4 linked regions of the Notamacropus eugenii genome follow. The protein of the gene in region 1 interacts with the protein of each later gene in a biochemical or structural test. Links are inferred from orthologs where the notes say so. Each region holds a gene or a part of one and is shown on either strand. Other genes may lie near its edges. The genes, in order: JUP, cadherin-1-like, DSG1 and CTNNA1.

Evidence for each region.
Region 2: the proteins of JUP (region 1) and cadherin-1-like form a complex in vitro, tested with the Homo sapiens proteins (2 studies listed by BioGRID). The link is inferred for Notamacropus eugenii from reciprocal best matches to the Homo sapiens genes JUP and CDH1.
Region 3: the proteins of JUP (region 1) and DSG1 form a complex in vitro, tested with the Homo sapiens proteins (2 studies listed by BioGRID and IntAct). The link is inferred for Notamacropus eugenii from reciprocal best matches to the Homo sapiens genes JUP and DSG1.
Region 4: the proteins of JUP (region 1) and CTNNA1 form a complex in vitro, tested with the Homo sapiens proteins (2 studies listed by BioGRID). The link is inferred for Notamacropus eugenii from reciprocal best matches to the Homo sapiens genes JUP and CTNNA1.

Annotation. Positions count from the first base shown.
Region 1 is NC_092873.1:358,227,407-358,234,943, reverse strand, and holds the start of JUP (junction plakoglobin), read left to right. Parts: upstream 1-4,530; 5' UTR 4,531-4,693; intron 4,694-7,537. UniProt on the Homo sapiens protein: Common junctional plaque protein. The membrane-associated plaques are architectural elements in an important strategic position to influence the arrangement and function of both the cytoskeleton and the cells within the tissue.
Region 2 is NC_092872.1:708,186,291-708,193,574, reverse strand, and holds the start of cadherin-1-like, read right to left. Parts: upstream 3,025-7,284; 5' UTR 2,781-3,024; coding exon 2,721-2,780; intron 1,708-2,720; coding exon 1,593-1,707; intron 1-1,592.
Region 3 is NC_092875.1:257,982,216-257,989,300, reverse strand, and holds the start of DSG1 (desmoglein-1), read right to left. Parts: upstream 3,022-7,085; 5' UTR 2,834-3,021; coding exon 2,786-2,833; intron 1-2,785. UniProt on the Homo sapiens protein: Component of intercellular desmosome junctions. Involved in the interaction of plaque proteins and intermediate filaments mediating cell-cell adhesion.
Region 4 is NC_092872.1:366,016,468-366,023,695, forward strand, and holds the start of CTNNA1 (catenin alpha-1), read left to right. Parts: upstream 1-4,210; 5' UTR 4,211-4,409; intron 4,410-7,228. UniProt on the Homo sapiens protein: Associates with the cytoplasmic domain of a variety of cadherins. The association of catenins to cadherins produces a complex which is linked to the actin filament network, and which seems to be of primary importance for cadherins cell-adhesion properties.

The sequences.
Region 1 (7,537 bases):
GATGTCTTGTTGCTTCACTGATCTCTCCAGCCTGGGGTAGAGTCATCTGTGCTGATTACAGAGAGCATAGGATGGAAGTGGTTATTGATTTACAATGGAGTCCCTGGAGGAAGCAGAAAAAGGCAGGAAAAGTCTCCATAGCCTCCCTTCCCCCCAACTCTGGCTTTTCTTCAAAGAGCAAATTTTTTCAGAGGTCTCAACTAAGTCACCTCACTGCAATGACAACAGCAGCCTGAATTGATTTTAGGCTTTATCGTTTGCAAAGTAATCTTCTCACAACAATACTATGAGCTGGTATTATTAGCGTTTATTGTGACCAAGTATAATTAGCTCTGTTTTACACATAAGGAAACTGAGGCTGTGCATTACCATAATCATGGGGCTCATCTGTAGCAGAGCCTGAACCCAGAATTTTGGCTTCAAGTCTAAAACTCTTTCCACTTTTCTGCACAGACGCTTAGATCTCATATCAGCACTGAAATAATTTTCCACACCTTAGCTTGAATCTTGTAGTCAGAATCATGAGCAGGCTATTCTGACATGGGGGAGTGTCAAGACCACTGGGAGAGAAAGAGGCCCGAGTTCTAATCCTTGTTCCATGTCTGATGAGCTTAAATAGATCCCATCTTGTCGGTAGACCATTTTTCCTGTACTTTATATTTCTTTGTATCCCCAGCACTTAGCATAGTACCTAGGAGGTGATTAATAAGTGTCTGCTGACTGACTGTAAAATGAAGAGAATTAGCTGATGCTGTGATTCTTCCTTGAGAGTCTCTGGAAGCCCCTGACTTTGGGGTTGGAGGATAGGGGTGGAATGCTGAATCTCCTCCCCACTTGGAACATCAATGTATATATGGAGGGATGTGGGGAGGCAAGCAAATGGATGTCAACTGGTAGTATGGGTGCATGTTAGGACAGGCCTCTTCCCTTGCCTTGCCCAGCTCTGGGTTCTGGTGGGAAGGTGGGGCAGGTGGGATGGGTGGGGCAACTGCTGTGTCAGCTAGAAGAGTCAGAGAAGAAGCAAGTTTAAGAAGCTTGTGTTGTCTCCTCCAGCTCCCCGCTACATTTCCCTTCCCCCTCCCACTATGAGAACCACCTAGGTGTGTCAAAGGATTTCCAGAAACTTCGGGGGGGGGGGGGGGGGGGGAGATCCTAGGATAACAAAGCTTTACATATTGAAGCAGCCTTGGGGGAGAGAAATTTGGTCCTGAACTCCTGAGTGAGTTTTCCCCAACAAGAGACTTCTGGGGATTTTGTGTTAAAAATATAACGAGAACAGCTCAGGCTACCTGGGATGTGTGTTGAGCACAAACATTCTCTGGGATTTCATAACCGTATTCATGAACCTTCCAGATCCATCCCCTCCCCTGAGCCTGTATCTTCCTTTTCTCCCTCCCTTCCCCCTTCCTTCTTTGTCTCTGTTTCTGTGTCTTTCTGCTTTCCCTCTGACATTCCATTTCCACCTACATTTTTCACAGTGAAGTGTTTCTGGAGCCACATCAGTAATTAAGTACCCTCCCCAGTATGGGTCAGACACACCTCACCTACAGTGTCAAGCCACTGGGCAGTGAGACCTAGAGCTTCTCTCACACCTCCCCCCATCCACCCCATCTCTTCAGGCTACTGAGCACAAATCTCTTCTGGCTCTAAACAAGAGGGCTTGGTTGCTTAGGAAATCATCTCTCCCCACTTCTGCATCATATATCCCCCTTCCTAGCCCATAATGGTATCTCTGCTGAGGTATAAACCCTTACAGAAGCTTCAGGTTTCTCTCACTTACCCCTTATTCTGGTATCTTTCACCATGACCATCTGGGAAGTCCTTAGTTATCTAACCCTGTTTCTTGTGATAGACATTTACTATGTGGTTAATCAGGAACTAGCCTGATTCAACAATCCAAGGTCAGGGGTCACCAGACTAATCTCCCCTGGATACTTTTTTATTCTGACCACTCTTTAAGCCTGACCTGAGTTAGAGGGAAATGAAGTGTGTGTGTGTGTGTGTGTGTGTGCGTGCGTGCGTGCGTGTATGTGAATATACATATGCCTGTCTGTGAGTATCTTTCCTTGAGTCTGTGTATGGTATAGAGCTTCATGTCTATCCATATGTTTCCCAGTGTGGGTCTTGACTATTGATTTCTGTGCAGATGGGAATGTGAGTATAACTGTGTATGGGTCTCTATGCCTATGAATGTACAAGGTATGTGTGTATTTAAGTGTGGGTGGGTGGAGTGGAGAGGGGGTTCAAATAGCAAGAGAAAGCTTCAGCACCTTATATGGCCAGAGGCCTCAAATGAAGAGGAGGGGAAGGGGGAAGATAAGAATGAGAAGGGGAGCCTATTCCTTTTCTGGTATAATGGCTGCTAGTCAGGAGATCTCCCTCTCTTACTTCCACAGAAGCTCACTGTCTCCAGACAGTACCTCTACCTGCTCCCCTTCCCCCATACTACTTCCAGTCACTCTTTGGGCACCTCCATTTTCCAGTTACTTTTGTCCCCTGGGGGGCTGACTCCTTTTTATGAGTTAGAGTGAGATGGGAAACCCTTTCCCCCACTAAAAGTTGTAGCCCTAGAAAGCTGAAGTGAGCAGGGGAAGTGAATCCATCCTTTGAAGGCTAATGTCTCAGCAGCCACAGAAGTCTGGACAAGAGGAAATGGATTTAAACCACAGCGAGTGAATTTAGGTTCAAAACAAAACAAAACAAAGCAAAAACTTTCCACATGTTACTAGCACAATTGCACTTTTTCCGAAAGGACTTTGAGAATTTTTTTTCCTCAGAAGGAAAATTCCCTGACTGCTTGGTTTAGAAGCACAGAAATGGATGGCTTGACTGTCTCATCTTTCCCAAGCTCAGTTTGTGTCAAGAGAGAAAGAGAAAAAAAATGTCACTCTTGAAAATCGTTTAACTTCACCATGTTGACAGAAAAATAATCATGATCTCCAAGCTTCTAACAACAACACAAAACAATAAAAGAAATGTGACTTGGGGGATGTAGGAGAGGGGCAAGGTTTCTATAGGAGGAATAGGGAAAAGAGGTCCCTCTTAGTCCAGCTTCTGGGTCTTCTCTTGGCAATCTTTGCTTCTATTTCCATCCATAGTAACACCCTATACTTTTTAGTAAGGAACTGACAAGCTGGGACATGATGTTGGGTGAGACACCCTTGATTTATTGTTGGGGAGAAAGGCACACAATACTGTGTTCTATTCACTCCATTCAGAGATGTTATGTTTTTCTCTCTTGTTCCTGATACCTTTCACCTTCCCCTGCTCCCCACTCTCTGACCAAGTCTGTCCAGTCCTCTCCTTCTTATTGGGTGGGTCATATGAAACAGAGGTAGCCCAAGTAGGAGTGTGGGTGAAAACCAGGACACAGAGTGGGTGTTGGCCTTCAGGAAGGGAAACCCAAGCAACAATGGGGAAAAAAGCCCTTGTCCCCAACCAGAAAAAGTTTATAATTTGGCTGAAGTGCAGAGAGACTGGGTGGGTGAAAGCAATGTAGAGATGAAAATACCCAGAGAGGGAGCCACACAGGCTGAGGGGGAGGGTCCAGGACAGCAGGGCAAAGAGCATTTGGAAGGCTGAAGTGCTTGGCACTGTTGCAAAATCTTTCCTGCCTTCACCCACCTATTATCTCCTCCAGGAAGGGGGTAGGATGTTTGGTTATCAGCTGTTGGGCTGGGTTGGAAGGGACCACTGTGCCTGACATAGGATGCTGAACCCATTGTGAGCCCTTCTAAAAACATCCATTCAATAAATGGCCAGAAAAGAAAAGGCCATGTTTTACTCTCCGGGATCTTAGGATCACCGTGGCGTTCTCTCTCTCTCTCTCTCTCTCTCTCTCTCTCTCTCTCTCTCTCTCTCTCTCTCTCGCCTGCTGCCTGGTTTTCTTTAGCTTCGTAGACTTGTTTCTTCAAAGTCTTCTTTCCACCTTCACCCCATAGGTGGCTTTTCTTGGACTGTTGAGTTTGCATTCAAATCCTCTTTTCACTCAGTCCGAGGTCTTTGCCACCTGATGCTTACTTTTTTGGCCGCGGTGAATAATCCCCTTAAGGGAATTATTTCTTGATGCTGAGTTGGTTAGGCGTCTACACAGACGCGCTGCTTTCCTTCCCTACAGCCTCTCCCCTGACTCACCTGGTAGGACAGGTATGGGGGGAAAGGTGGGAGTAGGTTCTACCTGGTGGAGAGCGTGGGTGGGGCAAGACACACCCCAACCACTCCATTGGTTTCTCCCCGAGGCTTACTGACAGCACCTCACCCATTCACGAGGCAGTATTCCTTCTCTATCCAATAGACGCGGAATTGGGATCGGACCTCGGGCTGGGGTCTGGCCCTAGAGCCGACTGGCAGGGCACGAGGCCAATGGAGAGGCGGTAAACATAGGCAGTCGGGGCGGGGCGGATTCGCAGCTGGGCCCCGCCCCCCAGGGAGACGGGCAGGCCTCGGGACCAGTGACAACGCGGCAGCGGGTGGGCGTCGCCCCGGGGGCGGGGCTCCGAAGGGGAGCCCGAGGCGTGGCTTGGCTGTCAGGTCTCTTCGCCTTTTGTTCGTTTAGGGAGTTGCAGCCGCGGCCAGAGTCCGTAGCAGCCACCGCCCGAGCGGAGCAGATCCTCCGATCCAAACCCAGCCCAGCCCTAGTCCTGCCCGCTGCCCCGAGCCCAAGCCCCAGCCCGGACCCTGGCTACGAGCTCAGGTGAGGGACGCGTGTGGCTGGGACTGGGGCTGGGGGCGACCGTGACTCCGCGCGCGCTCGGGTGCGTGGGGTGGGGGCACCTTGAGGGGCGGGTCCGTGCAGGTGACATTTAGAGGAGGAGAGGAAGGGGGCGCCAATGGGAGGGGGGTTGAGGGAGCTTTGCCCGACTGGGCGGTGGGAGCAAGCGCCTACTTAGAGGGAGTGGAGAGGACGGTCGCTTTTGGAGCATTTGAGGTCTGGGATTGGTGGGTGAGTGGGTAGGGGACAGAAAGGCAATCGGGGTCGCGAGATTTTGCTTGGGGCGGGGGTGTGTGGTGGGTCAGGCTGGCCACTCCGAAGGGGGAGTGGGTTAGTGGAGGACTGAACTGGGTGGGGCTGGAAATGTGGAGCAAGAGATTGAGAGGAGGGTGAGTTTGGAGAGGGTGGATCTCTGTGGTCCTTTTTAAGGAGGGGTGGTGGGCAGCGGGGGCTTGGGAAGGGCTTTGGCTTCGTCCTGGAAAAGTCTGCTGGAGGGAGTGGGAATTGAAGGAGGGGTACGGTGGAGGGGAGGGTCAGGTACGGATACAGCACTGACCTCCCTGGCAGTGGCCTTAGTGGACTGGGATTGAGGGGGAGACTTTGACCTCATTTCGCGTGGTGAGTACATAGAGCATTTTCTCTCCCTCTGTCCAGCTGGGAATTTATAGTTAAGGAAACTTGCAGCTGGGCTGCACTCCCCGTCACCCCCTCAGTCTGCCTCCCCACCAAGCGTCATTCCTGCCCTCCTCTTCCACCCCCACCTCCCCAGGCCTGGGTGGGGCCCTATTGTCTGGGTCCAGTTTTCCGAGCTGTGGGGTCAGTATTCTTGCATTGGAGGCGGGATCTCCCCATTCCTGGTTTGCTGAGCAGGTGAATTTGGTGTTAGGCATAAATTTGGCACTGGGCATTAAACGGATCCCGGGTCCCAGGGAGTTAACATCAAAGTCCTAGATTTTCTTCTCTCTAATATGTGTTCAGGTTGCCGGGAGAAGAGGGTAGCTTATCTTGTTTTAGGGTATCTGACTTATTGTTGAGACTTGGAGAGGGCTTCAGAGAGGAGATGGTTTAATGAAAGGTCAGAAAGCTGCGGGATGGGGAATGGGGACCAGGAGAGCAGGAAGTTACTGCTAGTGTGTTCTTGCTGTGCTGTCATCTGACATGTATAGCTTAGAGACTCTGAGGACCATTTAGAGAACACCTGGTTCAAATACCTCATTTCACAGACTCTTATAACTAGTTATGGAAGGTTTATATGGGCCTCTGTTTGCCTTAGTTTCCTTAAATGTATATTGGGAATAGCACTTGCCTCGAATGGTTGTGAGGAATAAATGAAATATTTGCCAAGTGCCTAGCACAATGGTTGGCACACAGTAGGTGCTATATACATGTTTATTCCAACCCTCACCTGTCTTGCCCTTTGTCCTTTTTTTCCTTCCCTCCTGACCTTCGTCCCATCTTTTGGAAAGTTCATCTAGCAAGAAACTTTCTTGCTGTTCAGTCCTGTCTGACTCTTTCATGATCCCATTTGGGGTTTTCTTGGCAAAGATACTGCAGTGATTTGTCATTTAATTGTCCAGCTCATTTTACAAATTAGGAATATGAGGCAAACAAGATTAAGTGACTTGCCCAGGGTCACACAGCTAGTAAATGTCAGAGACTGAATTTGGGCTCAGCCTTTTGAGTCCAGATCCAGGGCTTCATCCATTGTGCCACCTAGCTTGCCCAATAAACTTTCTAGGGGGAATCACAGAGTCATAGATCTAGAGCCAAAGGACCTTCTGGGCCATGAAGTTCAGCTCCCTCCTCCTCAAGACCATCTTAACTCTGGACAGACCTCAGAATAGAGAGCTCAGAGTTGATCCTTTCTGATCTTATCCTTTCTCCTCCCCACTTCCATTCTGTTTACTAATCCCGTGGAGATAGAGGGAGCCCACTTGCACTTTTTTTCCATATCTAGGGGCGCCCCTGGTACCCCTCACCTCTCTTTCTTCCCTATTTCAGGCAAAGCCTTTGTAACCTTCTCCTGCAGCCACTACCCTCAGCCCAGAGTAGGAGATTGAGCTAGGAAAAAAATCCATGTGGGAGATGCCAATTATCTTATATTCTTACCCTGCCTTTTACCCTTTCTCATTCCCTGGTTTAATTATCTACCTCTTAATTGAGGAGGAAGCTAGCAGCAAGCAATAGGACTTGATTTCCACTTGATTACCAAATTATGAAGTTTGCTGAGGCGTGACTACTGCAGATCAGGTTGGGATCCGGGTCTTTTGAGGTACTCCTTGAACAAATCATAGGGTCAGAGGATTTTTACAGCTGGAAGGGCTTTCATCTAGCGTGGGTAGGGTTGGGTAGTCTGGTCCACGCTGGAGAAATGGTTGAAAGTTTCATGACTCCTTGGGTCTTGACCAAGAAATATAGCTCACATTTATATATTGTTTTCAGGTTGACAAAGCACTCTTCTCAATATGACCCTGCCAAGCAGGTAATGAGTGCCAATACTATTATCCCCATTTTAGAGATGAGAAAATGGAGGCTGGGACACGTAAAAGTGGCTGGCCCAGGGTCACATAGCTAGAAGGCAGTTCTGGAGGAGGAGAAAGAGGGTTGGATTTGGGTGTGCCTGAGTCTGAATCCCAGCTCTGCTGCCTATTATATACTTGGTTCACTGTTTGGCAGATCGTTTCAATTCCCCTAGTCTCAGTTTCCTCACCTAGGAAAAAAAAAGAGGATTTTGGACTAGAAGATTTCTAAGATACCTTCTAACCCTAAATACTCATAATCCTTTGTCAGAGATGAGATTTGGACTGAGGTCTTCTGACTACATAT
Region 2 (7,284 bases), on another chromosome or scaffold:
CAAAGAGGTCTAAAAAAGGGAAAAGGTCTCACATGTACAAAAATATTTATAGCAGTTCTTTGTGGTGGCCAAGAACTGGAAATTGAAGGAATGTCCATCAATTGGGGAATGACTGAACAAGTTGTGGTATATGAATGTAATGGAACACTATTGTGCTATAAGAAATGATGAACAGGACTTCTAAAAAGCCTGGAAAGACTTATATGAACTGATACTGAGTGAAATAAGCAGAACCAGGAGAACACTATATACAGTAACAGCCAAAGTGTGGAAGGACTGTTTCTGATAGACTTAGCCCTTCACAGAAATGCAAGGACCTAAAACATTCCCAAAGGACTGTTGAGGCAAAAATGCCATTCATATCCAAAGAACTATGGAACTGAAATGCAGAATGAAGCAGGCTATTTTCTCTTGTGTTATGTTTTGGTTTGGTTTTTCTCATGATTTCTCTCATTCATTTTAATTCTTCTATGCAATATGACTAATGTGAAAATGTTTAAGAATGTATGTGTAGAACCCATATAAGATTGCATGCTCTCTCAGGGAGGGAGGGAGGAAGGGGAGAGAGAAAGGGGAGAGGGGGAGAAAAATTTAAGACTTATGGAAGTGATTGTTGAAAACTGAAAACAAATTAATTTTTTAAAAATTTAAAAAATGATATTTGTTTCCTAATTATTTCACATGTGCTTATTTGGCCTCTCCACTTATATTTCAACCGACTGAAAGCAAGGACAAAAAATGAATGTCTAAGGTAAGAGATGACCTCAAATTTTAGACTTCAAATCCAGCACTTTAGGGCTGATCTTGGGAATCAAGAAGACCACCTAAGCACATAATTTCAGGGTGACCAAGGGCCAGCCTTCAGGCAACTGTTTAAAATTAAGTTACAGTAGAATTGCTCAGAAAGGGGTGGAGGTTGGGGAGAAATTTCAACTTCGATAAAAATCACAAATCCTCATTTAAAAAAAAAGTCAATAGGAAAAACTAAAGTGAAACAGCAGCTCTCACACTGAAACTGGAAGATACCATATTTCACTCATTTACACAGTGAATAATATTCCAAACTTCCTCCTCACTTGGCCAGCCAGGAAGAAACTCAAACGTAATTATGATGGCACTGTGATAAGGCCAAGAAATGACCAACTCAATCACATGCTTTTCCTGAGTCAGTTATCAGGGCTGTTTTTTTTTAAAATCAATACCTATAGGAATATTATCAGTTCCATTTTTATCCCTAAGAAGAAAAATTCAATACTTTGCAAAGATGGGGGATGAGGGGACGCTCTTAAATAATTTAAGACTTTAGGTCTCGTACAAGATAATGAGACAAAAAGAAAAGTAGAGACGTTGGCAAGTTCAGTAAGTATTTGTTGAGGCGGGGATAATTTCCAAAGGGAAAAGGGATTCCTACACACAGAAAACCCAACATAAAGGTTAACTTCATCAAAACCCGAGCGCGAACTTTCCCCGCTCCCGCCCTCAATCCAAGGGCTGATCACTTTCCTAGGTCATCGATTCCCCACCCACCCCCTGGGGCTGGGCACCGGAACAGCAGGAACAGCAGCCGTTCCCCTCCCCCACAGGCCGCTTACCTTGGCCCAAGATTCGGCCTCGCTCCAGGTGTGGCCGGGACACCTCGAAGGTGTAACTTTCGGAGGCAAAGCCCGGACGGCAAAGCCCCGTGTCCTCGCAACGCCATAACGACGCCTAAGGGGGGAAAAGGGGAGGTTTGGGGTGACTGGGAGCTGGAGGGGGTTGCCTTCCTCCCCCGCACCGAAACCTGCCAGCCTCGCCCCAGTGGGGGTTGGGGGTGAAGACGGCCTGGTCCCGGGCCTTAGCCGCTCCCTCCCCACCAGAAATCCGTACAGCCGGCTGCTCCCAGGGGACTCGGAGAGTTTTGCTGAGGGGCGAGAAGCGGACCAGAGTCAGCTGTGTCCAGCCCAGACGGGTCAAACTTCCCAAATCAAAGCGACATTTCCCCTCCCTCGCAACCCGATCCCATCCAGCCAGAATCCCTGGGTCACCCTCCCCTCTATCCATCTGCCCTCCTCCAAACTCACACGCTCCCCAACTCTCACTTTTACAGGAGATTCCCACCCCGAGAAATGCCCCTTTCAGTCACAGATCCCATTAACCCTAAACACACTAGAGATCCGCCCCCCCCATACACCAGCTCTCCCCAGGCTCATCTCTCCCCCCTGCCCAGATCCACCACTTACAGTGTGACTTCAGGGCCAGCTCAGATTTCTCTCCTAAAACTTTGGGTACAATGTACCAAGCCCCCCCCCACACACATACACACACGCACAGACCCCAGAGAAAAGGAGAAGGGTGGCGACCGAGGGAGGTGCCGGATCGGCGCTAGGATCCCCTAAGCCGTGCGTTTCCCCACTTGCCCCCTCGCGGGGCAGTGCGCCAGCTCGTGGGCTAGAATACCCCTCGAAAGCAAACCAGTTCCCGAGGAGAGTCCCGAGTGCTGGAGTAAGTTCGGTCACCCATGGTGGGGGGGTGGGGTAGGAAAGGAGCACAGGAGGCGAGGGAAGCTTAGGGGAAGTGAAGGGAGGAATCAGAGGAAGGGATGGGTGTAAGGAGGGCTCCTCTGGGCTGTGAGAGGCCGGGGGCAGCCGAAGTTCTCTCCAGGGCAAGGATCAGCGTCTCCCCACATCTTTCTTTCATCCACCCGGAAAGTGCCCCATCCCCCTCTTGCTCCGGGGCTTTACCTGCAGCAGCAGCAGCAGGAGAGAGGTGAGGCTGAGACACCAATTCCGCCTAGTGCCCATGATGGGGGCGCCGGGGGTGCGGCCGCAGCTGGGGCAGGAACGCGGCAGGGGCTGGGGCCCGAGCGGCGCAGCTCGTCGGAGGCGCAGGTGGACCAAAGGTTTTCCAGTCACTTCCAGGGGCCAATACTGCGGCTCCAAGCCAGCGGCCAGCCAGGTGAGCCCCGAGGGACCCGCCCCGCGGAGCTGCTGATTGGCGCGCACGCACACCTGCGCCGGGAGGAGCCAATGAGACAGTCTGGATGGCCTAGCCCAGCCCAGGCAGCTCTCTTTCCCTTCCCTGCCCTGAAGTTCTCAGGCTGTCTACCCACCCCGGGCAACTGATCACTCCCTTTTCTAGCCCTCGGAGCGGTGACTTCTCATGTCTAAGTCAGAAGTTGAACTTCCGATCTTTCACCGCTGCTTGTGGTCGTCTGCATCTTGGAGAGCCCGGACAGTCCACAGCCGGACACCGAGCGGTACACATTCTAAAGAGTGGCATCGGTGGGAGAGCGGCTGCGAGTAGGAGAGAATCTCATTGCAAGATTCACTGAGAATGTCTTCTCCCTAAGTCCCATATTGTCTGGTAAAAACTGGGAGTGGGGGTGGGAAGATTCCAATACGCGGTGAGGGCTCTGAGTCGGGGAATCTCCTTATGAAGTAACTCATAGGCATCTGAACCTTTTGGGAAATGTCTTTTGATCATCTTTTATAGTGTGGTAGATTCCCACAGGTGAAAATGGTCCGCACAATCCAACCCCTCCTGAAGTAGGAATCCTCGCTTCAGCGTCCCTGGAAAAAGGTTAAAGGGTCAGAACGTATCACTAATTCCCAGACCCCTTCCTTCCCCCCTCCCCAACTTTCTTGCTTCTTGCCTGGGGATGGTCTTCAACTTTTCTGCATGTGAGGATTCTTTTTAAGTACAAAAACATTTCCAGAGCAGCGGTGACTGTAGTTGTACTATTAAACAAAAAACTTTCTAAGCGTTCATAACAACTTAAAAGTTACTAGTAAAATATAAATGTATTCAAAACCTTTGCAACAAAGTTTACATAATTCCAAAAAGTTGCATATTATTAGTTGGACTTACATAAAAAATCCAAATGACAATGATTGCTAGGCAGATGACATACTAGTCAAGTGCATTATTTGGAGTCTAGCCAACCACTATTACACATTTATTATGTACTGTGCACTTCCGTAAGAGCTGGAAAAAGATTGAGAGCTAAGGTCCTGGGACTACAACAAGGGAATGCAAATAGAAGCAAAAAAGAAAGTCTGCCCTCAAGGAGCTTACTTTTTAAAGGAAGAAAGACTCACCTAAAAGAAAGCTAAAAGCTGTTGGGAGGGGAAAAGAAAGAAGGAGCCTATTGAGAAGGAACCATGGAGAAAGATGTGAAGAATCAGTCATGTCAGAGGAATGAAAGAGCATTATGGCTGACCTGAATTCTTCCTTAAAATAAAGGTTTCAGGAGAAACTAACCAAAGAGAAGAAGGGAGAAGAAGGAATCTCCCAAGTTGAGAAGGCAGCAAAGTACAGGGCATCTCCCAGGGTGAGATGGCATCAGGGTACAGCCACCTTCCACAGTAAGAAGGATGCTTTTGAGCATGGTGACTTCCCAAGCTAAGAAGACTTGGAACATGGTCAAGAAAGTTCTCAGAGTTAGGAGAAGAACTGGAGAGATTGGTGTTAAATAAAAATTAAAATGTCCATAGGGGTGGGAGAATATAGATTTCCCTATCCCTTGAAAAAACCCTTGCTATTTGTCATCCATCATAAACTGGGAATCACTGACCTAGAAGATTATTAAGCCCACTTCCAGTAATGAATCCTAAGACCATCTTCTAAACCTGGAAGGAACTTGATATCAGGTAATTTATACTCAAGTGTGAATCATGTCACAAATTCAGAGTTGGAAGGGACAGCTCCAGCTGCCTTCCCAGTGTTCCAACCTCCTCCCCTAGATTTGTCCTGGACACTCCATTTGGGCAGATGTCAGAAGTAAGGTCAGTTTTCTTGTCAGTAATTCATATTTTACTTTTACTTTAAAACAAAATTCAAGGTATTTTCCTACACCAAAGCAATGCCATTCTTATCAATTGCACTTAGAAGATGTGGCATATTTTACTTGTGGGTCTGTGTAGTGTAGACTTCACACAGGGTAATCATAAAAGATATTCTCATTTCAATACTTTTATCAGCTACCACTTTATTTTACAATTACCTTCCAATGGCATGCTTGCATTTTCAGGTTGCTCCTTTGGGATTGAAGCCTTGAAAGAGGAAACAGGAACAAATAGAGGAAGTTAAATATGGGGCAAACACCTAAAATAATGTCCAGAATGCCAAGCCCTCAATCAACAGGCATTTATTAAGCACCTACTGTGCACCAGGCATTGAAGTAGGGGCTAGAAATAAAAATATAATGAATCAAAAACTTAAGTTATATAGGAGATGACAAGTAGATAAATGGATAGATAGATAGCTAGATAGTAAATGGATGGGTAGATAGGTATATGTATGAATATACACATACATATTATATATCTGGATATAAAGACAGTTTCAGCTTAAACTTAAAACTGCACTGAGATTTTTGGAATACCCTGTATTTAACTATTTTGCATTTATTTTATTTATATATATATCTATATTATATATGCATATATCTATACACATAAGCTTTATTAAAGCTTTAAAGTTGCACTGAGACTTTTGGGACATCCTATACAGGGATTTTGAGGGGAAGGGCACTATAGGATAGGGAGAGTGGGTCAGAAAAGGTTTCACATAGAAGATGATGCTTGAACTTCTATGAGTTGGAAATGAAGAGAAGAGCGTTCCAAGCATGGGGGTAGGCAGGTCAGTGGAAAGATACCAAGTATGTTAGGGAAAAGCCAGTTTGATTGGATCACAGAGTATGGCAAGAGGAGAAACATTCATTGAGGCTGAAAAGATAGAATTGGGGTAAGGTAGGGAGAGCTTTAAAAAACAAAACAAGTTTCTGTTTATCCTGGAGATATTTATCCTGGAGGCTAAGGGTAGTGGATAGTATAGTGGATAGAGGACTGGTTTTGAAGTCAGGAAAGAATTCTTTTCATGAGTTCAAATCTGACCTCAGACACTTACTAGCTGTATGACCCTGAGCAAGTCATTTAACCCTGTTTACCTCAGTTTCCTCATCTGTAAAATGAGCTGGAGAAGGAAATAGCAAACCATTCTAGTATCTCTGCCAAGAAAACCTCAAATGGGGTCACAGAGAGTCAGATACAATTGAACGATAACAAAGACTACAAGGGCTGATGGACCATTGGCCAGAGCACGTTGTTTCCCTTTAACATGTGTGTTCCACAAAACATGGCAAAATAGAAAGGGAACTTGGTTTCCTGTCTTGCTTTGGCTCTAGGATCTTTAGTGAGTCACTCCTTCTTAAGGCTTCCATTTCCTCATTTGTAAAAAGAGGGAGCTGGATTTCCATGGTCACCTCCAGCTCCCAGAATCCTGGGAATGAAGCTGTCCCAAGAGGGGCTAATCTCATTATTTAAGGAACAAGCCACAAAATGAGAAAAGGGGAAATGTGATTAACCAGGGATAGTTCTATGACAGGAATAACTGACATCTATGTAGGACTTTGAGGTAACAACAAAAATAAATGTAATTTAGAAAGATAGACAGGGAAACTACATTTTGCTAGAAGATAGAATAGACAATGAATTAATATCAACACTAAATATATGCCTCAAGTATCACAATATCCAAATTCTTAAAGGAAAATTAAATGAATTGTTGGGAGAAATAAGCAGTAAGAGTATAATAGCGAAGACCTCAGTTTATTCTGCTTAAACCTATATAAATCTAACCAAAAAAAAGAAAGGAAAAAAAATGAAGGGGCTGAGTAGAGTTTTAGAAAAGACCTCTGGAGACAATCAAAAAGTAATAGCAACTTTTTTTCTCCGTTCTGCATGGTACCTTCACAAAAAACTGATCCTATATTAAGGCATATGAACCTCACAAATAAATATAGAAAAGCAAAAACATTAAGTACATCTTTTATGGACCAAAATGCAATAAAATTATATTTAATTAAGAAATAAATTGTGTGCTTTCTACAAAATCTCTAGGGGAGAAAAGCCTTCCTATGTGAATTTCTTTTTTTATTTAAGAACTTATAAAGAAAAAAGCTGACTGCAAACCGAGTTAAAATTGTTTACCAGCTCTCCCGTTCCTCCAAACCCCATTCCCTCCTTATTAATGGATTTCAGATCATGTGCTGAGGTCATTTGGGTTTATACATTTTAGCAGTAGCTACCACCAGGATAGATCAGTGGAAAGAAGATACAGTACATTTCCTTTCTCGCCAAGGCTCCTGCATTAAACAGGATAATGGAAATGATGAGAGAAACTTTTCCCCCCAGAGGCTAACTGGTCAGTTTATTTTTTTCCAGTTATATAAAAATATGTACTTTATATGATGTCTACTCACTAAGCCATCAATTCTTTCCTTTGCTCCTCCTCGAAAGCCTTCTA
Region 3 (7,085 bases), on another chromosome or scaffold:
AGTAATTATTGCCAAGAAGAACATGGTTATAAACTCTAAGAGGGTAGGGATCAAGCCTTATCTAAATATTGCATATCTCTGAGCACCTGTCATAGTTTTCTAGACACAACCTGCTTAATTGATTTTTATTGGGTTGAACATAAATGGAAGATAAAAACTGGTCAGATTCACTGAGACATAACAAACACCCTGAAAGTCTATTTCCATATAAGAATAATGCAGAGAGCATGTGATTCTGGGAAACTGATTTTTTGGGAAGGGAGGGGAAATTGAAGGATTTACTAAATTAGCAGGGGGATTTTATTATGGAGTAGAAATTTTATCATATAGAATGAAAATATTATACAACTGAGTAGAAAAATTGCATAAATAAAAAATAAACTACCAGTTGAGTTATAAAGTTCATTGTGGAAAGGACTGAAAATAAATTTTAATTTGCTGCATCCATGATAAGAATTAACTGACTGAACTGAATATACATGGAGCTGGAGGGGGAACCGTGGTCATTTGAAAAGGAACAATTTTATGCTAATTTCTGATACCAATATTTTTTCCCATTCCTATGGCATACTTTAAGGGGAAAAGAATAAGCATTTATATAAAGCCTACTATGTGCCAGGTATTGTGCTAAGCACTTTTTACAATTTTGATCCTTCCATTTGATCCTCACAACAACCTTGAAAGGCAGGTGCTATTATTACCCGTTTTTATATTTGAGGAAACTAAGGCAAACAGAGGTTGCCTAGGGTCACACAGCTAGTAAGTGTCTGAGGTCAGATTTGAACTCAGATCTTCCTGACTCCAGACTCAACCCACTGTAACACCAGCTGCCCCAATGCTGTCATAATTTGAGGGATGTTGAGGGATTGAGGGATTTCCCTTCCCCTTCCCCATGAACAAATCCAAAAGTTCTGTGAGAGAGTAATGAAATGGGACTAATGTTTAGAACAATATCCATTTAAAGTAGACGTACTACCAACTCATGAAGTTCTTTCATAATTAAATTTGTTCAAGTTTCAGTTCAGTTTAATCCATCAGCTCCATTTTAGCTAACCACCATTCACTGAATCAAAGACCTAACTTGTTATTAAACAGAACCAGCATTCCAGACCTAAGTTAAGCAAGTAGAAACAAATATGAACCAAGACACCGTCTCCTGCCAAGTTCAAGGATAATTTAGCTGGCACCTGCCTTTTGGGATTACTTTAAACTTTCTGTGAAAGACATTAGTGTTTTTGATGAATTTTTCAAAATATGAAATAAGTATATATAATACTATGTACTTTATGAACAAAATTCCCAAGAAGTTATTGTTAATACTCTGTAAAGGATAAACCATGTATTGTTTATTTTTTAGTGTGGAATTTTCATTAAAAAACAAAACTTCCCATGAAAATTATTGTTCTCTTGCAACTTTGAAGGACTGTTCCATTATCCTAAGTTTTGAAAAAAAAAAGAAAAACTGATTTTCAATAAATGAAAACATTTAGATTACATGGTTATTGAGGTCCCTTCTAATTCTCAAATTCTATGATTCTACAACTTAGATCACATCCTAATATACTTTAAAAAATTCAGCCTTTTTGTCCTAAGTGATACTCTGACCATTGGATACAATTTTTAATGTCAGGCTTTGGGAATAGAGGATCATAAATCTACAATTGGAAAAGACCTCAGAGGCTCTAATTCAACCTCTTCATTTTATGAAGGGGGAGACTGAGGCCCAGGAAAGTGCCAAGACTTGTGCCAGGGCTCACAGGTGTTGGAAGCAGGATAAAATAACATTGGGTCATATTTATAGAGAGCTCTAAAGTTCCCAAAGTGCTTTCCTCACAACGACACTATGAGGTAGGTAGTACTGGTAGTAATATTATTATTACTATAATTATTTTTATATAGGTAGGTGAGCAAACTCAGGTTGTGTCTTTCCGAAAGTCACAGAGACAGGGGTGTCTGAACAGAGCAAGGTTTAGAACCAAGGTCTCCTGACCCCAAGTCTAACAGCTTTCCACTATGCCAAACTGACCTTCCGCTAGTGAGAAAAGCCATAGTGATGATTATACAATAACCCTTTCATTATAACAGTTTTTTTTACATGCCTCATCACTTATAAATTTTCTGTACTGTCATTTTTATTGAAACCATCAAATATAACAAAATCACTTTTTCCTTCTGGAGACACTTGGGCTTTCAAGAAAATTTATGCAAGTATCAAGACTATACCCTGATCATGCTGAGGTTCCAGGAGGAAAATTAGAATCTTGAGATTTACAACTGAGTTTATCTTATCCACCCTCTTCATTTCACAAAAGTTAGTAGTTACATATGGCTACAGAATGAATTAGTCTTGTTTTATTTCATTGATTAAAATTTGGCAATGTATTATCCCTCGGCTGTTGAGGGGTGGGGAGGGAAGAGTGAGAGAGAGAGAGAGAGAGAGAGAGAGAGAGAGAGAGAGAGAGAGAGAGAGAGAGAGTCAGTGCTTTGATAATTGAAAAGGTTCACCTACACCAGTATTCAAAATTTTAACCTTTTAACATGTTAGGCAGTGCTAAGAATTTTCAAAATCCAACATGTCTTTGGAATGTTATTATTTTGAGGTGCAAAATGAAAGACTGGCCCCTGAGTGAGGCATTGGTAGTCTTAAAAGAAAAAAAAATTGCAAATGTGACTTATAAAAGTCTTCCCAGTCATTAATATGAACTGTTAGTCCAGGCTGTAGCCTGAACTGGTCTCATTAGCTATACAGACAAATTTTATCGATTTATAAAATGGATCTACTTACCCCTAAAATGAACAGAACAGCAGTGGTTCTGTACAGGGACCAGTCCATTGCTTCTGATAGCTCTTACATCCAGGTCTCAGGTAGTTACGTTTTTGACTTCTGTTTCTTTTTCTTCCCACCCCCCCCTCTTCTGGTGCCTAATTAAAAAAAAAAAAAAGATCTTGGTAGATGTTCTTACATGCAGGCTTTGAGATGTTTCTGCCTTCCTGAGAAGGAAGGACTGAAGGTACGTATAACCAGTCAGTATCCCCACCCCAAAATCCTGGGCTGGTCTCACTGAAATGCCTGACAAGATCATTATTGCTCCCAGGTAAAAGCTATGGGACACGCCCTTCTAGTTTGAAAGCAGTTCTCTGTGGGGCAGAGTCTTTCTCTAGAGGTTCTCAAGTGAAATAATTTAAAATTATTCAAAACCTAAAAAAGGATAAAAATGGACAAGTTCCTTACCACTGTGCTGGGTAATAAGAGTGACCTTATCTTCTTATCCTAGGGGATGCGGGGAGAAATGTAGTCTGTATATAGGTTATGGGCAAGGTAGACATTCTGGTGACTAGATAATCAAAGCTTCAGATCACAGGAAGAAATGACCAAATCTGACTTGAGCGAATCTAGAGAAAGTATAAGCTGGAGGAACCATATATTTGCTAAGCTGATGGTTAAATAACTTGAAGGTCTTATTAGAGTTGAGAGATCATATTGTCATTTATTTGGAGAAACAAAATGATTGTGATGATCTGACTTACAAAGTTTTCTCTGGTTTGTACCGTGACTCTTCTTGATGGCAACAGGTATGTCCCTGAGTGTCCTGCTTAAGCTCAGTCCTCTCTGTGGAAAATTCTTCTTCCCCTCCTCCAAATCAGTTTTTTAATTTTCTTTCTTTATTCCTGTCCCTGCTCTGCACACTTACATAAAAACCAGAATTAGAACTTGACTTTCCTAGAATTTTAAAAAAATAGATAATAAGGAAAAGTTTAATGACATATTCAGTACAGATTGACCAGAGCCAGATACACCCAATTGAACCATAAGAGAAAACTGTGGTTTAGGTCAGCCAGGCTAAAAAATAGTTGATAAAAACAGCATAACCTGAGCCAAGATTGTAGGAAGTCAGCCAATTAGAACAAAGGAAATATGCTGGAGACCTGGCCACCCACATGTGAAGACAGGAAATGGAATGAGGTACCTGGTTTTTTGAAAAGAAGTAATAGCTCTTATGGGGTAGTATTTAATGGTAACTTTGAAATCATTTTTATATCTTTTCTTCTCCAGGAAATGGTTTGAGGGAGGCAATTAGAAGGGGTGCTTGGCACTGTGTTAGTGTTGGAGAGAAGTATGTTAATTGTTGACAATTAGGAAATGAATAAGAGATGTCACAAAGGTAGTATGTTGGTTCTCCGTTGTGTGGAAGATGACTTTTCTTTATGTGTGCATGAGAAAAGAATAGCCATTCAACTTTATAAGGACATACATGGATCTCTAGTTACTCATTGTGGATCTCTGCAAACTGGGAAGGAGGAGGCTGCCTCTACTTTGACAGATCTTAGTCAAACATCAGTTGGGATTGAGCAGTTGGTTGCCCTGCTAAGCTTTTGCTGATACAAATAAAAATAATGAATTGTGGTGGTCAGGCCAGATTTTATCATTAGTGAGTTAAAGAGAGTGATGCTCCATGATGTGTTCACAACAATAGCTAGTAGTAGAATTGGATGACCTAAAAATGGCAGAGGGATTCAAGAGGAAATGGCCTATCCATTCTACTGGTTGAGTATGTATGATTTATACCATTGGACCTTGAGTTGGAGCATAAACATATAATCTTATCCCTCTTTCCCCATAGATAGTTCTAGTCTCTTATCTGATGTTGCCCCAAATATACCTCATGACTCCATCCCAGTTGAGGGCCTTGTCCCAACAAGGGGCTCTCAGTTCATCCCTCAGCCACTTAGACACTACTCAGAAAAGGAAATGTGGGAGAATTCCATGGTTCTGGAGCACCCGTAGCTACTCCCTTGACAAGTTACCTGAGGAACAGTGATGGTAGAGTAGGGAAAGGGTGGAAGGGTGAGGATATCTCTTACCACTTCTCCTATAACCTTTCCATATTTATGTCATTTTCTATTGCAATCTGACCTGTACACATCAGCATCTGCCTTATTATTGAGTGCTGGTTTACCATAGGCTTCTACTGTTCCCCAATTCTTAAGAACTTGCCTTTGATGTCTCATGTCTATATTCTCCTTTTCCTTAAAGTTCCTTTTTCTCACTTACCCCTTATCAATAAACTAATTCTTTCATTCTTTTCCATGCCTTTACTATCTCTCCCCTTTTTCCCATTCCCCCTTGAAAACCCACAACTAATGTGGTCTTCTTGAATACTCACATTACTAGATGAGATGAGAATCACCATCTCTATGGTTTCCTGTGAGAAGGAGGACCAGTAAGCCTTGTCATCTACCTGCCCTGCCTTTATGTCCTCCAGACCGTTGACTCTGTCATCCGACCTTCTTATATATCCTAACGACCTTTGTGTTTTGCCATCTTTCCCTTTGCAACATCTTTAGGATTTCTTGGCCTTTCCATTGATTTAAGTGGACTTTCTTTTATATACTTTCTCCTCCAGTTATAGTGTGGGAGCAGAGACTGCCTTTCTTTTTCTATCTTCAGCAATTAGATAGTGCTTGGCAAATACTAAATGCTTTTTTATTCTATTTCTTCTGATAACCAGTTTCCACTTCATAGGAATCTATTTGCCCACTGAGCCTAGCTAATCTAAAGTCCCCTGAACTGAGCCCTTCCCCTACTTACAGAATCTTCTGTTGTTATTTTTTCTTCCATGTGCATGTTGTGTCCAAGCCTCTGTTTGCTTTGCTTCATGGAATCTCAACATGATTTTCAATGTAAGTATTTGCATCATGAAAATTGGGGAATATTACAAATCAGAGCTTGGTTTATTGTTTTATTGATTGTCCACATTTAAGAAAGTGATGAAGAAAATGTTAATAATGCAGAATAAATTTAAAAGTATGTTGTATGTTTTTGGGGAGCCTATTGTTAAAACATTTACCAGCATACCCCTACCTAGAGCCACTCTCATTTCTCAAAAATGGTACCTGCTTTAAAGTGATTTTTTGTGTCCAGAGTTTCCCCAGAAAACTGATGGGGAATACTACATTAATCAGAATTCTCCTATGATACCTTGATTACTTTCCTATTTCTCAGGAAATAATAGTCTTGTAATTTATATCAATTTTCTATGTTTTTCAATCCTCTCAGCATCTTAAAATATTGTAAATATCAACTTAAAAATGAACTACTAACTTTAATTTACATTTATTATAGGTATTATTACTAATTATTTACCATTGAGATTGGTCCTGCTAATTACACACAGAGATAGCTGTTAAGACAGATTCGAATGAAGGTCCAGGAAGGCTATACATATTTCTCCCAAAAGACTTGGATTTATTACTCATGTAACTTTGGATGACTCACTTATATTATCTGTCCCTCAATTACCCTACCTTTCAAATGAAGTTGTTGGTCTATGTCATACTATTATGATAGGAAAAGTTCCTTCCTATTCTATAGACTGTGACATACATTTTTTTATGTATATATAATGCATACATGTAGTATGGATGCATAAATTGTGTTTAACTTTGACATAATCCACATAATTGTCATTTAATAATTATATACTATTTCATCTTGTTAATATGTCATGGTAGGCCTAGCCATTTGCACATTATGGAACACAATTCTTGAGTAATAAAATAATGATTATTATAAAGAACAGTATAATATATCGCTACAGCCTGAAAAAATTTAGGTTGTGCTAAATACATAGCAAGTCATGACCTGGTGACTTCCATCATACATCAGAAGCTTGCTCTCTTTCATGGGCCAATAGATAACAAGTCCCTATGCCACAGCCATGAGGATGCTTCCAAAATCCTGGAGAACTGTACTGGGAACAGACAGTTTTCATGTACCAAACTTACCACGGTTTGCCAGACATGAAGGTGATTTGTAAATACGTAAAAACAATGGTTTTCATAATTGTTGCTATCTTAATTGTCCATAATCTTGAAGTTCCCTGGAACAAAAAGTTTTCCAAGTGTAGGGAGTGGGTCAAAGAGAAAAATAATGAGGAATAGGAAGAGAATTGTACCAACCTCATGGTCCTCCTGCTGTTGAAATTGTACTGAGGATTATTTCAGATAACCTATGGAAGGGGAATGTACAGCAGTTATTTTATTCACTTAGTAATCCATAAAACATTGAATAGAAGGGGAAAATG
Region 4 (7,228 bases), on another chromosome or scaffold:
ACGGTCAATTGTCATTCTTTTATTTGAAAAGACTACAAGCCAAGACCAAAGTGGAGGGAGTGTTGGTGCATGATTTTCTGTTTGCAGATGATTGTGTACTCAATGCAGCCTCTGAAGCTGAGATGCAACAAAGTATGGATCAATTCTCTGCTGCCTGTGTTAATTCTGGCCTAATAATTAACACCAAGAAAACACAGATGCTTCAGCAGCCACCACCACACCATCCGTATGTGGAACCATCAGTTACAACAAATGGAGAAGTTCTGAATGCTGTGGATAATCTCACTTGCCTTGGTACTATACTTTCCAGGGATGTACACATTGACAATGAGGTTGATGTATGCATTGCCAGAGCTAGCTCAGTATTTGAGAGTCTCCAAAGAAAAGTTTGGGAGAGAAGAGGCATTAGACTGACTACCAAACTGAAGGTTTACAGAGCTGTTGTGCTGACCTCATTGTTATATGCTTGTGAAACATGGACAGTCTACTAGTGCCATGCAAGGAAACTGAATTGCTTCCATTTGAACTGTCTTAGGAAGATTCTGAGGATCACCTGGCAGGATAGGGTCTAGACACTGAAGTCCTTGCTCAAACTGAACTGACAAACATTCAAACTATGCTTCAGAGAGTGCAATTCCGATGGGCTGGCCACATTGTTCAAATGCAAAATATACGCTTGCCAAAAAGACTATTTTATGGAGAACTCATATGGGACAGGCAATCACATGGTGGTCAGATGAAGCAATACAAGGACACTCTCAAGTTCTCTTTCAAGAACTTTGGATTTGACTTTGCAACATGGAAGACACTGGCACAGAACCGTTCAGCATGCCATGCCCACATCAGAAAGGATGCTGTGCTCTTTGAGCAAAGCAGAATTGAGACAGCACAAAGTAAACATAGGATGTGCAGATTTGGAGTATCCACCCTAAATATTCACATGGACTATCTGTGCCCAACCTGTGGTGAGCATTCTGAGCTCATATTGGTCTGATCAGCCACAATCAGACACACTGAAATTTCACTTTATCATGGTGATGTCATTTTGGTCCTCTGTGAAGAGGAAGGACAACAACTAACCAGAGAGGGAAGCACCAACACCTGAGTTTTCAAAGCCAGGGGGCTGCTTGGTGGCTTCCCAGAGTCTCTCATCTGGCACACAAACCTTCTTCCAAAAATTAAGCCCCAAAGTAAAACCTCACCCTCAGAGTATTTATACACCTTTCAGAGTCACAGGGCATGATCCTCTGACCCAGTGCCTCAATAGAAAAAACAAAAGGTACTTGGGACCCTCCTACAAAACAAGTCTTTTAATCAAGATTCCCTCAATGGGCAGGCCCATCAATATGAGGGCTTAAGATCTTTAATCACATTATTCAATCAGAGTAAAAGAAAAACAGCAAAAGATTCTACTTTGCTTGGCCTTACATACATTTATGGAAAGAATAATGGACTTGGATCCTGGAGAGAACTAGAATCAAATCCTTCCTCCAAAAATTACTCACTATAGGCGAGTCATTGGATTCCTCTGAGTCTCAGTTTCCTCATGTGTAAGGGGAAGTGAATGATACTAGTAGTTCCTACCTTATAGGGTTGTTTTAAAGATCTAATTTGATAATGTTTGTTTGTAAGGTGCTGTCCTGGGCCTTATCCTCTTCTCTCTTACTATTTCACTTGGTCCCATTAGTTTTCATGGTTTCAGTGATCATTTCTGTGCTGATGATTCTCAGATTTACTTGTCTAGCTCTTACCTCCTCAGAACTTCAGACCAATTTCTCCAACTGCCTTGCAAATATCTCAACATGGATTTCCCACAGACATCTTAAACTCAAATGTCCAAAACTGAAACCAAATCTGAAAATTGTCTCCCTTTACCCTCACCCAAATCTCTTCCTATTTCCTTATTACTGTCCTGGATACCACCATCTTCACAGTCACCCAGGTTTGTGACCAAGGTATCATCAATTCCTCTCCCCCACCCTCCTCTAATGCAATCATTTGTTATATCTTGTCATTTCTATCTTTGCAATATCTCTCAAATATACCCACTTTTCTTGCCAGACACTATAACTGTTCAGGCCACTATGACTTCACACCTGGCAGTAGCCAGCTGGTTGGTCTCCCAGACTGAAATCTCTTCCCTCTCTAATCCATCTTCCACTCAATTATCAAATTAATCTTCCAAAAATGCAGGTGTGACCACATCATAATCCCCTTCACCCCCTTTTCAATTCACACTAATGGCTCCCTATTACCTCCAGGATCAAAAATGAAATCCTATATTCGGCTTTCAAAGCTCTTCATAATCTGGTCCCCCTTTTGCCTTTTAGTCTTCTTATACCTCATCCCCTTCCGTTTACTGTGAGATCTAGTGGCACAAAACAACTCTGAAATCAGAGTTGTCACTGGCTGTCCTGGATGCCTGGGATTCTTTCCCTCCTTATCTCTACCTCCTAACTTCCTCCAAATCTCAGCTAAAATCTCACCTTCTGCAAAAAATCCTTTTCCAGTTCTTCTCAATCATTACGCCTTCCCTTGGAGATCACCCCCAATTTATCCTGCATATATCTTGTTGCATATAAATTTTGATATGTTGTTTCTCCCATTAGACTTACCTCTTTGAGAGCAGGGACTGCTTGTTTATTTTGCCTTTTTTTGTTTACCCAGTGCTTAGCATAGAGTCTTACACTTAGCAGGTATTTAATAAATGTTAGTTGATTGATTGATTTTCCCTGGGTTAGTGGAAAGAGTGCTAGATTTGGTGTAAAAAAAGGTTGTTTTTGTTCAGTCATGCCCAACTCTTCATGGGCCCATTTGGGGTTTTCTTGGCAAAGGTACTGGAGTAGTTTGCTGTTTCCTTCTCCAGCACATTTCACAGATGAGGAACTGAGGTAAACAGGGTTAAGTGACTTGACCAAGGTCACATAGCTTGTAAGTATCTGAGTTCAAATATGAACTCAGATCTTCCTGACAAACTTGAATCCATTGGGCCACGTAGCTGTAATAAATTTGTTTGGCTATTCCTGAACTGATAGGCAACTACTTTGTTTCCAGTTCTTTGCTGCCATAAATATGTTGGTGCATGTAGAGAGGTTTAACTTTAACTCTTAGGTCAATTTCCTTCTTCTGAGAACATTTATTCAGAGTTGTAGTGCATCATTACATAATGAGGTACCTTGCATTCAAGTGGTGGATCAAATACAGAAAGGACAGGACTCCCACTTACAAGCCCCTTCATACTTAACCTCCTAATGTTAGGGCATGGAGTAGGTTAAGCTCTCCTCTCACAAAACCTAAATTGGGAAGACTTTATGCAAAATACCAAGGGAAATACAGTTTTCTTCAAAGGAATCTTTTGATATCACTTGGTAGTAGACACACCAAACTCTCAACGAATCTAAACGATGATCCTGCCCAACCATCGGTTATGTCGGCATTTTTGCAGGCTAGTACCAATTTTGCTGGTTATTCTGAAATGCAGGAGGTAGAATTTATCATTTAGTACTTAACGTTTAAGATTTGCTATCAGTTTTAGGGTGTATCAAGATTGGCCGCTCCCTGCCCTGCCCCATGTTGCGAGGGACGCTTTTTTTTCTTAATTTAGAGGGCAAAATAAAAGTGAGCTCTTACCTCAAAACTCAGTATGACTTTTCTGAAGGATTAATTCTGGGAACAGGACAAGCCTCAGGGGTCCCGTGGAGACATGCCTCCCATGCCTGGAACAGGCTAGGCGCTTAATAAACCTGAATTGAATTGAATTGGGATAGCCTAGCTCACTTACAGCAAAGGAAAGATATCTGAGATCCAGCTCAGTACCTGGCACAGAGCTCCTAAGTCTCAGGCTGAGGGGCGGAGCCTGCCTAAAAACCCCACCCTGAGACTCACCTGAGCCCCGGAGCCAGATGACTCACCTGCCCTGCCCCCATCCCCCTCTCTGAGCTCTTCCAGGGATTTTCTTCTCCTCCCCTTTCCCCTTTAATCTCTTCCTTACGCCTTCCCCACTCCAGGGGACTTTTCCATCCTGGGACAGCGGTTCAGGGCTTGGGGAGTTTGTCTCAGAGCAATACCCCACCCAGTCGCCCCCCTCTCCTCGAGAAATGTGTACAGTTCTCTTACTTGCAGGGAAAAGTCAGGGAGAGGGCGCGCGGCGGGAATGGCCGGAGCGGCCGCGGGGGAGGAGCCGGGAAGAGCGGCGAGGCGGAGCGGCCGCGGAGGGCGGTGCCGGGAAGAGCCTGGAGCGGGGCGGGGGGCCGGTGAGGGGCCGAGGGGCGGAGGCGCGGGCCACGGCCCATTTCCTCCTCGGGAGTCGGGACGGGAGACAAAGCGGCGGCGGCGGCGGCGGCGCTCGGCGTAGGGGCCTTTGGGATCCTCCTCTTCTTCCTCCTGCGCTCGCACCCCTCTCACCGCAGGTAACTCCCGGCGCTCCCTGGGCTCCGGGCCTGGGGCCCTCCGACGGACCCCGCCATTAGCTCCGGGGCGCCCCGCCCCGGCCTGCGCCCCTCCCGCGGCTCCCCCTGAACTTTGCGAGATTCGCGGGGCGGCGCCCCTCCCGGGCCGGGGAGTGCGGGGGCCTTATCGGCGGGGCGCCCCTGCCCCGCCACGCCCCGGGGAGGGGAGCGAGGCCCGGGGAGGTGGGGGCGCGGGGAGCGGGGCCCGGGCCGGGGTCAGCCCAGGTGGGCACTTTGGTGGGCAAGTGTGGGGCACTCCCTTCCAGGGCTGCGGGCGGGCTCCGCGGCGCCTCCCCCGCTCGGGCCAAGTTTCTCGAGGTTCCCGAACTAACTTTGTTAAGTTGTCGGGCGCGCCGAACCCTCCTTAACCCCGGCTCTGCCCGCACCCCAACCTCCCCCCGGCGGTGGCGGAGGTGGGGGGGCGCGGGGCGCTGGTGCGGGCGTCCAGCCCAGTCACTTCCCTTTGGAATAATTCGCATTTTATCCCCTGGGCGGGGCGGTGGTCCGCTTGCCTTGATTGGATTACTTTCCGAATAGTTTGATTGTTTGGGTTTTTCCAGTGGTTTCTCTTTCCTTTCTCCTTCCCACACCCGGAAATCTCTGGAATCTCGGTGGCGGAACCCAGATTCCACTTCCCTGGGCCATTTCACCAGGGAAAGTGATTCATTAAAAAAAGACTTCTGGCTCTCCGAAACTCGAGAACCTGATCCATTCGTGTTGGTTTTTAATTACGTAGCTTTGTAAATAAAATGGACTCTTAACTTGGATTGTCAAAGTACTCCCAACTTTTTATGCTAATGAATAGGACAGCATTTAACTCTTAACAATTTTAGTCTTGGTGCGGAAGGCAACCAATGGATAATTAATAATTTTGTAGTTAGATAACTAAAGTTTGCTTGTAATCTTTCAGGCAAAAATGAGTTTCCTGCTTAAGCTAAATGGGGACATAAACCGTGTTGTAACTTTTTTCCCACATTGGATTGTAGCTAAATAACATGAGTTGGAAACTTTGGTAGAAATGATCACATCCTTAGAGCTCCTTGATAGGGAAGCAGTTTTGATGGGGGTGGGGGAGAGGAATAGGGATTTCATTTTTCTTTTTATTAAAAGTACTGATTTAAAAACCTACCCATGCAGGTTTGCCTCACTTTAAGAAAATTAAAAATTATATAAATGTAAGTTATTCAAATAGTAAATATTGAGCACCTGTTACGTGCCGGTAATAATAATAACACTTGTTTATTGCTTTAGGGTTTCTAAAGTGCTTTTTTCACAATCCTGTGAATTTTTCCCATTTTGCGGATGAGAAAAGAGGAAAAGTTACCTTCTTGTGTCTGAGTCCCAGTGAAAGCCTAGGTCATCCATCTCAAAGTCCAGTGTGCCATCCACCATGCCGTGCTGTCCAGCACTAGACTACATGCTATTGGGGATGTAAAAGAAATATAAAATGTCATCTTTACCCTTGGAGACAGTCTGGTTATTGCCTCTGACCTAGTCTAAAACAAACTTGATCAAATCACTTACTGTTCAAAAACTTTGAATGTCTATTCATTCACTACAAAATGAAGGAAAAATCCTCCAGGCTGGCACTAGAGTTCTCCATAATAGGACATACTCCTTGCTTTTAAACCTTTTCTTTTTATGATCCACTTGTACCATTCATGTGGAGTCCTTGTCATTCACTGTTGTGAGGTGTGGTGTATTTGAAAGATTTTGGGTTCAAGTTCTGACTCTCCTTAGCCTTATAATGTCAAGTTCCTTTGTCTTGGTGTGAGACTCACTTTTCTCGACTTTAAAATGGGAATAATGAAGACCTGATTTACCTGGTTATTCTGCGGAAGATTTTTAGTAAACCTTAAAGCTCATTATCAAAGTGTGAACTACACCCTTTGTACCTTTTTTGCTTTTGATACAGCCATTCTCTCTATGTAGAATGCCCTTTTTTTCCCCTTTCTGCCTGATGAAATTCTGCCTATCTTTCAAGATCCAACTCAATTGTTGACATTTACATGAAGTCTTCTTACTTGAATTGGAAGCAGTCCCTGAAGTGCCAGGGTACTTTACTACTCATGACATTTTTTAAAAATAATTGTGTACTTGTCTTACCTCCCTCCCATATGTAAACTCCTTGAGGGTAAGGACTGTTCATATCAGTCTTTGTCTCAGCCACATCACTTTGCCACATAGGCATTCTATCAGTTTTTTTAATGAAAAAAATATAAAGTCTGTAACAGATAAGGATGTTTTTGCTCCTGCTGCTGTCACTGACTGGACATGTGATGGGTTTGTTTATTATCTGATGGATAGTTTTTTTAGAAATTGTTTATGTTAAATATGAAAACTAATTTTCATGAACTTTACAAACACTGCTAGTAAGAAAGTGTCTGAGGCTAGATTTGAATTGGGGACTTGCTGACTCCTAGTTCAGTGCTCTCACCAGCTGCTTAGGTGTTTTGTGGACATTTTTTTCCTTGTTTGGCATCACTATCCCTTCCTATTCTTCCTTAGAACAAATAGGACTAGTTTAGCAGAAACAGATCTGTATTTGCGTTGGTTGTTCCTAAACGAAAACTTTGGGACTCAGATTGGGAGTCTGAACACTGTGTTTTATTTTATAAGGTTATACAATCAATTAAAATATATCTGTTCATACTTTTATTTTTAGGTGTGATGAATAAGTTCCAGTTTGTTCCTCTTAGAACTGTTTCAGACTTTGGACCATAGAGAATGCTTGCTAGGATATATTTTGGTTCTCAGGCTGTATTCATAGGATCATGAGT